Oreochromis niloticus: one gene and its partner. The protein of the gene in region 1 purifies or fractionates together with the protein of each later gene. This does not show direct contact. Links are inferred from orthologs where the notes say so. Each region holds a gene or a part of one and is shown on either strand. Other genes may lie near its edges. The genes, in order: mphosph10 and imp4.

What was found.
Region 2: the proteins of mphosph10 (region 1) and imp4 purify together in Homo sapiens (affinity purification with mass spectrometry; 3 studies listed by BioGRID and IntAct, with this or other methods). This does not show direct contact. The link is inferred for Oreochromis niloticus from reciprocal best matches to the Homo sapiens genes MPHOSPH10 and IMP4.

What each region holds. Positions count from the first base shown.
Region 1 is NC_031965.2:17,951,961-17,959,475, reverse strand, and holds the start of mphosph10 (U3 small nucleolar ribonucleoprotein MPP10), read left to right. Parts: upstream 1-4,368; 5' UTR 4,369-4,411; coding exon 4,412-4,497; intron 4,498-4,624; coding exon of another isoform or gene 4,625-4,712; exon of another isoform or gene 4,713-4,727; intron 4,728-6,021; coding exon 6,022-6,685; intron 6,686-6,777; coding exon 6,778-6,950; intron 6,951-7,033; coding exon 7,034-7,199; intron 7,200-7,515. Other genes in the region: mcee (methylmalonyl-CoA epimerase, mitochondrial), read right to left, coding at 1,015-1,167, 2,193-2,533, 4,291-4,368, 4,625-4,712. UniProt on the Homo sapiens protein: Component of the 60-80S U3 small nucleolar ribonucleoprotein (U3 snoRNP). Required for the early cleavages during pre-18S ribosomal RNA processing. Part of the small subunit (SSU) processome, first precursor of the small eukaryotic ribosomal subunit.
Region 2 is NC_031977.2:3,338,204-3,346,425, reverse strand, and holds the start of imp4 (U3 small nucleolar ribonucleoprotein IMP4), read right to left. Parts: upstream 3,005-8,222; 5' UTR 2,854-3,004; coding exon 2,851-2,853; intron 1,398-2,850; coding exon 1,289-1,397; intron 1,173-1,288; coding exon 1,089-1,172; intron 1,001-1,088; coding exon 891-1,000; intron 1-890. UniProt on the Homo sapiens protein: Component of the 60-80S U3 small nucleolar ribonucleoprotein (U3 snoRNP). Required for the early cleavages during pre-18S ribosomal RNA processing. Part of the small subunit (SSU) processome, first precursor of the small eukaryotic ribosomal subunit.

The DNA of each region.
Region 1 (7,515 bases):
TCTTTAAAAGCATAATTCTCTTCATAGACGTTGACATTGATAGTCTGTGTTCTGTATTTATTTAGACAGTAATTTTATCTTGGCTTTTTCCTCCCACATACCTTGTAAATGCATTTCTGTCTACTAGTGAAGTTAAGTAAAGTCTGGATATTAACATTACAACGAATCCTTTAATTATGAATGCTTTAGGAATTTTCTGTGGGTGAAAAAAGTGCTAAGGCTGCAATGCACAGACTCACCAAAACTGGAAAAACATTGCCTTTCAATTTCTGCTTCAGTATTCAGATGGTAGGGTCAGTATTAGTAGTTCAGACTGCTGGTTTTGTAAAAGTGTTGGAGAGATTTTATTGGGACACTTTGAGACTCTTTTTTACCAATTGAGCATCTTTTAAACACCACAGCCTACCTGAGTATTGTTGCTGACCACGCCGATCCCTTTAAGACCAGTGTGCCATCATCTGATGGCTGCTTACAGCAGGATATCGTAACACGTCACGGAGCTCAAATTATCTCAAATTGTTTTCTTGAACATGACAGTGAGCTGACTGTGCTGAAATGGCCTCCAGAGTCACCAGATCTCAGTCCAATAGAGAACCTATTGGATGTGGTGGAATGAGAGATTGATGTTGTGGATGAGCTGACAAAAAATGCTATCATGTCAATATGGACCAAAATCTCTGACGAATGTTCCCAGAACCTTGTTGAACCCAAAAGGAAGTCCAACCCAGTGCTGTGTCTAAGAAAGCCATCATTTACTGTATGTGACAAATTAGCAGATATGGGAAATATCAAATTTCTATCACAAACACTTTAGGGGAAGCTGTTAGAACAACACACCGCATACTAATACATCACATGTTAATGTACCACATAGAACTTTATTCCATACAAAGAAGAACTGTGTTTCCAAAAGCAGAAGTGCTATAAGGAACAATCCCCGTTATCACTCTGATCATCAAACTGCCTGGAAAACATGTTAACGGCTCCTCTCAGTCAACGGCAGGATGTGATGCTTCATGCTTCTTCAAGCTCCACGAGAACACCGTCACAGTCTTTAGGATGAAGAAACATGACCGGTTTGCCGTGAGCGCCTATCCGCGGCTCCGCCGAAAGCATTCTGATGTTCTTGGTTTTTAGGTCCGCTATCGCAGCGTTAATGTCGTCTACCTGCAGTCGTAGGGGGAACAAAACATTAATGTTCAATTCATTTGTTATCATTAAGGTTACAAATGATCACAACTGAGTGTCAACTCTCATAACACTGCAGACTAACGCACAGGCCCCCGTGCTGAGTCACATTATGTTGGGTTTACAGCTGCTGTAATGCAACAGGAATAATTCGGGACAAGCTGTTACTGGATGTATAGGACCAACAACAACACTGACATTCGTTCTCTGACATGAACACATAACACCAACAACAAACTCTACTACACTCACACAGGCTCTAGATAATTATTCCTAAATTCTTCTTTGCATCGATGCACGTAGTAATTATGATTTGAATGACCCCAATGCAAAGTAAACTGAACAAACAAACATAAAAAAACAAAAAGGTAAAACGATGTTTCTGCAAAAGTTGAACTGCTTTTTTTAAAGTTATTTTACTTTATGCAATTTAGTAAATTCATAATATTACATTAGGCCATTCTCATGGTCAGTGATGACAATTATTTTCCAGTTTTTAGTGTTTGAAAATGTTTATTTTTAGTTTAATTTGTTAGTTTCCATCTTTTAAATTATTACCTTATGATGGGTATTTGTAAATTCAGAGTAGATCTTAAAATAAAAACACAAGCAATGATAATCGTGTGGTCATCCCAGGTCATATCATATGTACCGAATATGTATGTATTTATATGTACCAAACAGCCATACTACTACACCGATTCACACAAAAAATCCTCATAAAACACGAGAGAGAGATTTTTCTGCAGCACATCCTCAGAGCAAAAGGAAAATGAATATGAACCAGAAGGCGAGGATTGGCTCGTAAAACACTAGTGCGACTAATGCTTTATACCAGTTCACTCATTCATTATATGCATGTCACAGTAGACGTAGACAAGAGGAAGTAAGAAGATGACCAAATTCTGAATTCAGTCTCGTGAACTTGGGGTCACGTGAACAGATAAATGAAGCAGAGTCATGAAAAAATGTAATAAAAGCTCTCCCCTGTCATCGCCTCTCACCTCGATACAAATATGATGCATTCCTCCTGACTTGTTCTTCTGCAAGAAGCCCGAGATGGGGCTCTTCTCTCCTAGAGGATGGAGCAGCTCCAGCTTGGTGTTGCCGAGCTCCACGAACACCGTGTAGACGCCGTGATCGGGCAGGGGTACCTTCTCGCTCACCGTGGCCCCCAGCACATCCCGATACAGCGCCGTGGCCTTCTCCATGTCAGGGACAGCGATGGCGATGTGGTTAAGCCTACCCAGCTTCCACAGAGTCGTGGGAACTCCCTGATGGAGGGGCGCCGTTGTTGAATGTACCCTCTGGAGCGCGACGCGAGAGCATCTTGAAACACCTGCCGCTAAATATGAAATTAAAATACAGAGAGATCAGCTGTGTTTGTCGTTTCTGCTCAAGTAGCTTTGATGTATGCTGTATACTCTGGGCCAAGTCCCGAGTTACATTAATGATGTTTAAAGCCTATGCTTCCTGCACTCCCAAATCTGTTCTCCTTTGTGTGACTGACTGTAGGTTTTTGATTATATGAATAATAATTAGACCAATCTTTTACTGTCTGGTGTTCTGTTTGATGCATGCTGAGTTAATGTAAACCTGAATGACACTCAGTTGTGAAAGAAAGACTTTTCAAAATAAAATTATTCGGCTTCCCTTCCTCCTACGACCAATCGACAGGGCAATTCCTTAAAGACGACATTTTAAAGTAAAGTGCTCATACTGAACATAAAATCTGCACCTTACCATTCATTCAGCTCAATATTTTATACTTTCAAACGACTTTATTGAGTTATGTTGCAAAATAAACCTACCGTCTCCTGATGAAGACATAGTTTTTAAAAAAGTACTTTTTTTTTGTTTGTTTTTGTTACAGATGATACTTAGTTTTTTTATTTTAAAGCCGAAGTCTCAGGAGGACATATCAATAATCTTGGTTTTATTACTGTAAGAGCAATCTTTTGTTTCCCAGGCCATAATCTTGTTTTTGCCTTCATTGGAGGTGATCTTTGAATTCTTCTCCTAGTCTCAGACATGGCTTAATCCCTGTCTGGGAAACCTGCTGTTTATGTACTGAACATATACATATAATTAGGTTATTAGGTCAACCCTGTGTTTCAGAGAGTAAATAACAGTACCCATATAATTTTACACACATCTCCTTACCATACAAAAATCTTGGAATAAAATGCTCCAGTGTGAAGTTACTTAATGGTATGCCTTTGGCTTAAGTTAGTAGTTTGGAAGTTAATAGGTACCTTCGCCAAATATCTCTCTCTGTAAACACGACAGCTTGAAGTGAATGATAAAACTTTGTAGGGGTGTAGCGTGGGGTCATGTTAACTTGGCTTACATCCACCAAGGTCAGCATAATGATTTATTGGTCACAAATTGACAAAAAGCTTTATAACTTGGAAACTATAATTCTTATGATTGTCCTGTGTATTGTCAACATGGAGAAAGCAGCATGTAAAGATTTCAAATGTGTCACATTTGACCTCTGACCTCTCCTTCAAGGTAAATTGATTGATTAATTGATAGACTGATAGACTAAATTGATTGAGAGGTGATAACAATGCTATGTGGAGCTATTTTATTGGAAAACAAAAGTAAAAACTAGTTTGATCAAAGACTTTTTTCACCTGACATGCATCACTAAACATTTTAGGATCCACTGAAATGAATGCTACATATGTACACATATGTCCACATAAAAAAATGATACTCAAAATTATGTCAACTATATTCAAATGGGTTTCAACGGGGCAAATAACAAAAGCCTTTTTGCTGCACTACAAACTTCCTAAAGTATATTTGAAAAGAACAAAGAAAACAAATGAATATAGAGAAAATACAATGCTACTCCCTTAAAAGTAAATACTGTATACAGAGTGAGCTACCTTGGCGGAGGTTTGCGCTTTCTGAGTGCTTCTGGTTCATGATGTAACGTAAACATTGTTTATGTTCGTCAACTTTGCGGGCTCGTTTGAGCTTCCGAAAAAAATTACAGTTCCCTATAACGAAGCTTAGCATCATCGTTTATCGTTTGCAGAACAGTGAACTTAATAGCGAGCATTTTGTAGCTGGATAATTGTTGACACAGACCTGCAACCTTCAGCACGGCGGACGCCATGTTCGTACCCCGGAACCAAGTGGCAGGTACAGAACGGTTTCTCGGTGAGCCTGTTTACGTGCGACACAGACGGTCACACATGTGGGGGCAAACATGGCTAGTGGAGATGTGTTCAGTGTTCTGGAAGAGTGTGTAAAGAAAATAAATGCCAACACAGGACAGCCAGAAAACTTCCTCAGGTAAGTGTTTGTTGTTTGCGTTGAGTATTTTTTTTAAATCTTTTGAAGAAGCTGTTAAATATTTTTAGAAATTCGCTCCAGCTAGCTGAAGCTAACTGTAGCGTTAGCACAGCATTAACACATTTACCTGACAAGACGTTTATACGTCGAGGTTTTGGTAAGATATTGATGATTAGGCGAGTTTCTCCTTTATGTTTCACGTAGAAACACTTCATCGCTTTATGTTCCTAAAATCAGCTGGCTCACGTCTGCATTGTAGAGCTACGTAAAGAAAAAGAAAAAAAAGATGATGTGCTTGTAATAACTGACGTGTTAGACTACCAACTGCTGTGACACACCAGATGTTTATTCATTGCGTATGATGTTTGTCAATCCTCAGAAAGTCCACACCTGTTAGAAAATGTAAAACTTCAAATGTCTTGAATGAAGTAAATATCTAGTACATGCATTTGTGCACACAAGTTTGTGTTGCCGTATTTCAAGTGGGGGTTAAGACCCCTCACCTCACCCAACAGGAGAAAACTTGTATGAATAAAATGGTGGAGAACCCCTACTGAATTTCCACAATCAGACAGGCAAGTTTTTCCCAGCAGAACAGGACTGAGCTCTCGCTGCTGGAGCTGCATAAGCAGTTTAACAAATAAGCACAGTGTTGTTTGGGTGTGGGAGAGAGCACAGCTTTTTCTTGAGGAGCCCAAAAGTCGGCGTAATACAGAAAAATTGTTAATCAGTGCCAAATTGTGGCATTTCTTTGCTTTTTGGAGTGCCAACTGCAGTAATTTATGCCGAATGCTACTGCTGCAGTCATAAAAATCAAATTTTCTGTATCAAATTTTCACTTCACTCTGAGCTACTAAAACAAGAGAAGAAAATTGCTGAAAAGTGGCAAAACGTGCACTTCTGGACTGCATGTGGTATAGTAGTGATCTTAGAGCCATCCCAAAAACACAGGCCACATCATCCCATGGCAACGAAATCAATAATTTGAAGGATGAAACAGTCCCATGGGGCAAGTTGCTGCCCGAAGTGGAGGAGTTTAAGCATGAATGAGGGGAGGAGGAGATTGGCAGATGGATTGAAGCGGCATCTGCAGTGATGCGGATGCTTTGTTGGTTTGTTGTGGTGAAGAGAGAGCTGAGCCTAAAAATGAAGCTTTTGGATTACCGATCGATTTACATTTATGCCCTCACTTATGGTCACAAGCTCTGGGCAGTGACCGAAAGAACGAGGTTGCGGATATGATTGCTCCCACCTGTATGAGCTGCAAGAGGTGGCCGTGGTGAGGGAAGTCTGGCCTTCTCTGATTAGACTGCTGCCCCTGCGACCTGAACCCAGATTAGCGGTAGAAGATGTATGGATGAAACACAGTGGTTTTGTTTTTGTACCAACACATTAATAAATAAGCCACAGACTTTCATCCAATTCAGTTATTTAATACCAACAACAACAACAACAACTAATTTTCCCCCCAATATCGCATCATAAGACATACCTGACTAATTCTGTGTCTTTTCATCTTTGCAGCCTTCAAGATGAAGTGGCAACAGACTTTACCTCCATCACTAAGACTCTATATGACCTGCACAAAGCTCAGGAACCTGGACATTATAAAGGAAGCCCGCTAGCTCAGCTGGTTGTTGAAAATTTTGATGAAGAACAGATTTGGCAGGAGCTAGAGCTGCAGAACAAAGCCGTACTGAAACACTTTAAAAACGCCATAGACGAGGCTTTAGCAGATGAGACGTTAACTGTGCTGGAGGAAGAGGAGCAGGAAGAGAGTGGTCAAGAAGAAGAAGGAGCATCAGCAGATGATGATGACGATGAAGAAGAGGAGGAGGAGGAACAAGAATTGGAACCACCGAGATGGTCAAAGAAAATGGCTGTGGAGGTAGAGGATAACTCAGAGGATGACTCTGATTTGGATTTTGATGTGGATGCTCTGGAGAAAAAAGAGAAACAGAAGAAGGATACAGGAAGGAAGGCTTCCAAAGCAAAAGTGATGCCCTCCGAGGTTGATGATAAGTTCTTTAAACTGTCAGAGATGGAGGCATTTCTGGATGATATGGACAAGCGCGAGGGAAAGGAGGATGAAGATGACGTAGACTATTTTCAGGATCTGCCTTCAGATGAGGATGATGATCTTGACCTAGAGCAAATCATTTCCACCAAAAAGCAAAAGAAAAATACTGTATGTATCTTATCACACATTTTCCACTCATTTTTTTGCCTCCCGATAGTTCAAACTACAGCCAATATATTGACTGTTCTTTATGCCGACAGGTGAAGAGCTCCAGGAATCTCAAGTACAAGGACTTCTTTGACGCCGTGGACAGCGAACCAGCTAAAACAGACGACCTGTCAGATGGAGAGGATGACAGCGTGGATGAAAGCCAGGAGGAAGGTGAAGAAGTAATAGATGACGACTATGATGGCGAAGAGGAGGGTGATGATGAGTAAGTGCGATCAAAAATTATAAAACGTGTAGTTATGTGTGGGAGAAGTCAATTTCACCATGTTCGTGTCTGGACTTTGGCAGGGATGAGGAGAGGGGTCAGTCTAGGTCATCTCATAAGAAAGTGACCTTTAATCTCTCGGATGATGAAGACAGCGAGGGAGAGGATGTGGAGGACATTTTGGGAGGAAAAGCCAAAGGCTCAGCAAAGTCTGAAGCAAAGTCATCGTTTGAGAAACGGCAAGAAAAGGTAAACGAAATGCCCCTGAAACAAGGTTTTAGATGTCACTGGTTTGATTAACATATCCAACACAGCAAGTTGGAGCAAGTTTTTTAAAATTTAATTTGTTAATTTCATTCTAATTTATCCCTGTTTGACTTAAGAGGATGCAGCTGTAAGCCCTCCAGGATAATAAAAAGCAAAATAAAGTGTTAAATCACAAGAGGACTGAGGGTGTACTCACACGAAGTGTGGTTGTGCTTGCTCTTTCATGCACTTAAAACTCTTAAAAAGTGCTCTTGCAGAGCACAGTTCATGATTCTAGGATGCATGTGTCCTCTCACAT
Region 2 (8,222 bases), on another chromosome or scaffold:
TGTGGTCCCCCGAGACTAGCGAAAAGTCACAGACTGAGCAGCAGGTATGTTCTTGCCTCGACGTCCACCTTTGCTGTAGCGTCCATGTCACATAGTAATTACTTTGTGGGACGCTCGGATGCTTTGCTATGACGACAGCCATGCATAACAGGTACTACCCGACTGTAATGGAAAACCAGTCGATCCGAGTCGATCCGAGTCGAGTCGTGGCGAGTCGATCCGAGAAGGTGCTAATGGGAACGGGGCTTATGAGTCTAACTAGCACAATGTAGCCACTTACAGGAGGCAACTGTCATTTCAATTTTATTAATATATCACACTTGCTGCTTCATGCCATCTTTTACTTTTTACTTACTGTATCATATCTAGGTGCTATTACAATATGGTTTTGTTATTTCTATAATATCTGCATATGATATGACAATAATATAGAGAAATCCACGACAATCAAATAACCCCTTATGAGCAAACACTTGGCGAAAGTGGGAAGGAAAAACTTCCTTTTTACAGGAAGAAACCTCTGGCAGCACCAGGCTCAATGAAGGGCTAGAGAATTGTTGGATTAAAAATTTGTTGTATCCTTCAAATAGTTTTGAAGCCTGTCAATAAAATGTATATCAGTATTTCTTACATTTTAATGTAAATGTCTAAGAACGCACCATGTAACGCCATATTTCTAAGTTAGCACTATTTGTACTATTTATTTTTTCATTCACAGGTCTCCATTTAAATTCTTTAATACTGGACCCTCCTTGGATTTAGACGTTGTTCTATATTTGGAAATTATTTTGTGTGTTTTCATTTTTCATCTGTAATATACAGAAACATCTATGAAAATCATCAAGAACCAGGGTTGAAATAACTGCACATGCCATTAAATATGTACTAACCTTGGCAAACATTTTGAGTCTGGAGCTTGGGTCTCTGGATGTAGTGACCATGACTTTAGGATCTTCTACTCCAGCCCATTTATACTCATCATCCACATGAGAGCTGACACCTGCACACACAAGAAAGCACCAAAATTTATGAGTGAACAAAAAGTGAGGAACACTGACAAAATGCTAGTAAGAATGCACAACACTTGCCTTCTGCCCCTTCGTCGTCATACTCCACTAGTTTCTGTAGCTCAAGAGCTTCTTTGCGTATCTCAGTGGGAAGGAGACGATTTTCTGCAGAGAAGTAAATGATGTTTTACACACTCGTGTGTGGTCAGAGAATTTTGGTGCCAACTCTGGTCAAGCAAAATGTAGTTGGAAAAAGGATCTTAAGGATCACCCCAACCTACCGTCGAGGGCACCCTTCAGCTTCTGCTTCTTCTCCTCTATTGTTCGGAGCCTGTCCTCCTGTGCCTTCCTGTACAGGTACTCCCGCCTCAGTCTCACCTCTCGACGCAGCTACGCAAACATTACACCATATTACTCCAAAAACAGGCCCCTTAACATAATGACATTACCTTGCAAAATGACAGTTACCACAATATCTGAACATGTCTACACATCTCACACAAGTTAGTGAGAAAACAAGACGAAATGTTAGAAATAACTTATAATCGTAAAAACTTAATACATAATGGCAAACATGTAAGTAAAAACACTGGACATATCTGAACAGGTCTACGGTTAAATCTCCCTACGTTAAAAATTTTACTTAAGTAAAAAGGAGAATTTAAATTGAATTAAGGTCACTTTGGACTGGTTCTTATATAGCACTTGTTAACTTGAGCAGTCAAAGTGCTTCATAACTCGAGCTTCAGCATCTTGCCCAAGGATACGTTGTCTGGACTGGAGTAGCCAGGAATCAAAGCAGCAACCTTCTGATTTGTAGAAGACCTGCTCTACTTCCTGAGCCACAGCCACCCCATAACATTAAGGATATAAAAGCAGTTACTCTAACTTGGATAAATTTTAAAATGAGGAAGCCACTAACAGTTCACTCAGCTCATTAACCCGGATTAAAAGGAATGAAAAGTAGCGCAACAATAGCAGCAACTTCATATAAACCCCTGGAGTTGGGAGTTAAACCCAAGACACTCTTTTTGGAATTGAAATTGATGAACAGACTCCTTAAACTGAGAAGAACAGAAGAGTCTGGATTTATTTCATTAAACTCTGTGACGTAAATGATCAAACAATTCTCAAAACCCCTGACATTTGCAAATAAAACCAACTTTATCTAAATTCTATTTTCAAGGCACCCAGACATACAAGTTCAGTTAAAACAAAAAAAGCACATACAGTGTCCCGTTAATTCACATTTAATAACCTACAGGGGTTCTCCCCTCACTGTTCTGTGTCTGGCAATCAAGATTGTATCTTCATTAGTCACATTTTAATGACACATTTGTAAGAATTCACTAAAGGTTATTACATGTAATTCTCAATTATTTCTTTCTGACACAACGAAAGTGAGCACAATATTCCATATTTCTGAGACCTGAGACTTTTTTTTCAAAGCAGGTTCCTGGAGAGCTGCTATCTTTGTTTTGATTAGAAAACTCACGCTTCTTGACCAACGAGCAAGTTATTTTTTTCACTCATTAGATAGGCTTCGTGGGTTTATTTTTCCTAGTTATACACCAGTCTGTGACGATACAGAAAATGCAGTTGGGAACGAAAACAAGCGTTTAAACAGTACTCTAGTATTTCAACAATACCAGTTAAAGAGCTTTACTGCTGTGCTCTATGGCTCTATGTGAATGCGTGCTAACACTCGGGTGGGGAAATACGCTCGGTACGTCCACCTTGAGCTGCGCTTCTGTGTCAGCTTCGACCTTTACCATCTCCTTTTAGTATCACACTAAAACACAAATTAACGCTCGCACAAACCTTACAATTTTTTACAACTTACCATGATGTGTTTATTGCTAGTAGCTAACCCACGCTACTCACATGGACACGGAGAGAGACGTACCTACAAGAGTTTGTGCCATTGGCTGAAAGAATGACCAATGGCAAACGTCGATACTGACATGTACTGTACTGTAATGACTCATTTTTCAAATTAAAAGCCAAAGAATTCTTTTTTTTCTTTCTCTTCTCTCTCTCTCTCTCTCTTTTTTTTTTTTACCGATAAACTTGTAACTGCTTCGCATATTCAGTGAATAAACAGACACATAAATCCGCCAGGTTGTTGTAAGAACGAAGATTCTCCCTTGAGGAGGTAATATGATTAAATCATCCCCTCACCATTACACCATGAAAGGCAGGCAACAACGCTGTGGCCAAATATTTCCTGCTATATGTCAGTTGCCATTAAAAGCACCTCTTCCTGTTGAATAAATTAGACTTGAGTATAACCAGATTCGGTGTTTGGATCATGCATATTCTGATTTCAGTATTTCTTTTGGCAACAGGTAAGCGTACACGTCATGATTACAGAGGACTTGAACTCATATCTTAGAGTTTAAATATTTGTTTTTGTAGATCATTGTAGTGCCTGACTGGGCCACTAACGGAAGTAGATTAAACTATCTAGTCCAAAACGGGTTTTAATATGGCATCAGTGCCATTCGGTATATCATGAAGGAAAATTATCTTCTATCATTTCGAGGTACACATTTTCTTTGGCATAATTACATTCAGTGATATTATTATTTAAAAACAGTGAGAAAGAATAAAACATAAACTATCAACTTGTACTTTGTCTTGTACTCTGTTCATGTGGGCTTTTAGAGTATTGGTATTGTATTACTTAGTACTGGTTATTACTAATATATATTAGTACAGGAGTATTAACAGGTCAGTATGAAACTGTATGGCTTAACAAAAACAAAAACAAAACATTCCTATTCAAATAAATATCTACGAGTACTGGAATGAAAATGAGTGAAAAACAACCAACATCAAGAGGAAAACTTTAGTAGACCCCCAGAAAGCCTGGAGAACTACTGATCAGGAGCATTTAAAAATTATTTCCACACCTAAACAATGTCACTGTGCAGGTACCTGTGAGGCATTGTTTTGGCAGAAGCTGACATGTCCTTATGAAGTGAAGTACAAGAGCCTTCCGAGGGTTTGGTGTCAGCAGAACTCTGCCGAGTGCTGCACCGGCCTCACCTTCAGTCACAGTGAACACTTGGTGGATGGAGGCAAACTAAAGGTGACCCAGGATGTGAGCTCCTTCACTGTGGAAGTGTTGGAGCCAAACCACAAACAAGGAGTGTACTGGTGTGGTTTGCTAAACAGAAATGGCACCATCATCAAGCTGGCTGAAGGCTACATCCACAACTGTAAGCATAAGATAATATTTCAATTTTATATGCATGTTAAGCTTTCATAATTTTAAAAATTACAAAAGGTGATGTTCTAATATGAGTATTTATGAGAATCATAGGTTTTCTATGACTGTAAGCCCAGTTAAGATTTGGGACTGTTACTCAGCTCTTTGTGTTAACTTGGATTTCAGGGAATATTTCGTGATTTTGCACACCACAAATTTTAGTTAGTTAGAATAACATAAATTAATAATAGGCTAGCTGGTAAACATAACTAGCCATATATTAATCTCTGGAGATGGTGGAGACCAAAGCGGACACCGTGTTTGTGTTGCAGTGTGTCAGCTGGTTGTGCAAACAGATATTAAAACACTAACAAGTCAGTAGTTTCCCTGTTCTAGTGCAAGAAAGGTAGATAAGCAAGTAAATGTCGATATAGTGCTCATGGGCTGCACTACATGTATACAAACCACATGCTTTTTCTGGAACCCCCTGCAGCCACTGCTTCATATATCTGGAGTTTCATTCGCTGGATTCTGCTCCCTCTTCTGCCCATGGTAACCACATTTACCTGCATGTACCTGAAAAGTAAGATATTTTTATACTTCACCACAACAGACATACAATTATTGCACTGAAGCTAAAGTTAGAAAGACTTTCACCCAAGCTGTGTGACACAACTACATGAAGTATAAAACTTAGAAAACATCTATCTATCCATCCATCTTGTTCTCATTCCTTTCAGATTATAATTCAATTCAATTTTATTTATTCAGCACCAAATCACAACAACAGTGGCTTCAATGTGCTTCATATTGTAAGATAGACCCTACAGTAATACATACAGAGAAAAACCCAACAATCACATGACCCCCTATGAGCAAGCACTTTGGCGACTGCAGGAAGGAAAAAAGCCCCCTTTAACAGGAAGAAACCTCCGACAGAAACAGGCTCAGGGAGGGGCGGCCATCTGCTGTGACCAGTTGGAAAGAGAGAAGGAAGACAGGAGCACAACAACAACGCAGCAATTTATTGGATTTTGAGAGTTAAAATTTATACATGTTAACTTTTAGTGGAGCTTAGAGCTGTTGATATATTAGAAACAAAGAAAACAAAAAGAACTGTTTTACAACATTATCATTCATGTATACACAATATTTTTAAGAATCACTGTAATTTTGGCACCTCTACAGATTATGTGGGATGAGAACTTTTAAAAGATGCAAATATGTCTTAAATGCCTGAATGGGGTGGATGTAAGTCAGGAGGTAGAGGAAGGTTGGTGGTTCCCTGGCTGCTACAGTCTGCATGCCAAAGCATTCTTGGGCAAGACACTAAACCACAAGTTACTTTCCAGTGTATGAATGTTAAATAGAAAGCACTCAAAAAAACGTGCTGAATTAAAATACAAAGATATGGAAAAAGAATGAGAACAAACCCCCAAAACCTCTAAAATTCAAAACTTGGGGTCAACGACCCAGAGACCTGACAGACATGACAGCTGAAAATGAAATAAAGAATATGTTTGATGAAAATTAGTCACATGAAATCTAATTTTGCACATTCTGGATTCAGGTCTTTCACCATCAGCTGTAGAGACAGGCCTTGTGTTTTATGTGTTACTGTTCATTTATGTTCTTCACTTCTAATGAGTCCTTCAGATGATAAATAATGGTAAGGGAAGCTATTTGCGCTGCAGTACTATACGAGATGAACCATTTTGCAATGTAAGAATTTTAGCTCTTGTTTTAATATTTCATAAATAATAAACAATGGTCACTGCATCGTGCTGTAGCATGTAACCATGGTGGGTTCACTAAACTCTAACTTTTCTTTCACAGCAACACAAAAACACCTTTTTAAGGTAAAACCTCCCACACCTTGAAACATTTAAACAGCATGAAGAGTTACAGGTGTTACATCTTTTTCTGGTCTTCCCTCAGAAAGCAGATGGACTTTATGACGACGTGGGTATGACCAAAGCTGTGACTGAGCAGGAGTATGAAAATACAGAATCTCTGCTGTGAAATGCAGGCACGAGGAGCGTTGGCAGAGTCTTTGGAATAATTTAATTATTCAATCTGAAATTATAATCAATTAGTGAGAAAAAACAACAGTTAAATTACAATTGCCAATGAAAATGTTCGATTCAAATAATTTTTTTTTAGTATAGTAACAATTCACAGCAGGAGTGGCTTCATAGCTCTGTCTATTGTTAGCCAATACATATGCTTTTCACAAAATGTCCAACTATAAGCTGGCTAATGTTAAGCAAAGAGTTTCTTTGCACTGTTTTGAAGCCACCAGGGGTTGATACCTGTGGTTGTGAAAAGACTTTCTCTGGAAGTCTGTGGGAAAATGGTCCTCAGACTTAACTGTTGGCACTTTTCTGATTAGTCTATAGACTCAGCCATTCATTTCGAGTCATACTGAATAAAACTTCATTTTTGTCCCAAATTACAGATTCTGATTTATTTTGATGGTAATATATTTCAAAAACTATTTGATATATGAAGCTAGAAGTTTGCAGCAGTCATTATATATGCTCAAACCTTGGACCATAAAGTTTTTTTTTTTAAATGGAAAATGGAGGTAGTCCAGCAAGAAATGTTCTAAAAATATGCTGCTTTGAGATGGAATGACGCGCCAAAGTCCAAAGAGTGTCAGCGACCTCTTCTTTAATATTTTCTTAAGTTTTCTCAAACATTTTCACTTTAACTTTGGAGAACATCCACAGATTGTTTACAAAAGATTTTGGCACTCATGTTACTCATTGGTTAGTGAAGCAGTATGTTATAATTCAATTCAATTCAATTTTATTTATATAGCGCCAAATCACAACAAAAGTCGCCTCAAGGCACTTTATATTGTACAGTAGATAGCACAATAATAAATACAGAGAAAAACCCAACAATCATATGACCCCCTATGAGCAAGCACTTTGGCGACAGTGGGAAGGAAAAACTCCCTTTTAACAGGAAGAAACCTCCGGCAGAACCAGGCTCAGGGAGGGGCGGCCATCTGCTGCGACCGGTTGGGGTGAAAGAAGGAAAACAGGATGAAAGACATGCTGTGGAAGAGAGACAGAGATTAATAACAGATATGATTCGATGCAGAGAGGTCTATTAGCACATAGTGAGTGAGAAAGGTGACTGGAAGGGAAAAACTCAATGCATCATGGGAATCCCCGGCAGCCTACGTCTATTGCAGCATAACTAAGGGAGGATTCAGGGTCACCTGGTCCAGCCCTAACTATATGCTTTAGCAAAAAGGAAAGTTTAAAGCCTAATCTTGAAAGTAGAGATAGTGTCTGTCTCCCGAATCCAAACTGGAAGTTGGTTCCACAGAAGAGGGGCCTGAAAACTGAAGGCTCTGCCTCCCATTCTACTTTTAAATACTCTAGGAACAACAAGTAAGCCTGCAGTGCAAGAGCGAAGTGCTCTAATAGGGTGATATGGTACTACAAGGTCATTAAGATAAGATGGGGCCTGATTATTTAAGACCTTGTATGTGAGGAGCAGGATTTTGAAATCAATTCTGGATTTAACAGGAAGCCAATGAAGGGAAGCCAAAACAGGAGAAATATGCTCTCTCTTTCTAGTCCCTGTCAGTACTCTTGCTGCAGCATTTTGGATTAGCTGAAGGCTTCTCAGCGAGTTTTTAGGACTTCCTGATAATAGTGAATTACAGTAGTCCAGCCTGGAAGTAATAAATGCATGAACTAGTTTTTCAGCATCACTCTGAGACAGGATATTTCTAATTTTAGAGATATTGCGCAAATGGAAGAAAGCAGTCTTACATATTTGTTTAATATGTGCGTTGAAGGACATGTCCTGGTCAAAAATGACTCCAAGGTTTCTCACAGTGTTACTGGAGGCCAAGGTAATGCCATCCAGAGTAAGAATCTGCTTAGATACCATATTTCTAAGATTTTCAGGGCCGAGTACAATAACCTCAGTTTTATCTGAATTAAGAAGCAGAAAGTTAGCGGCCATCCAGGTCTTTA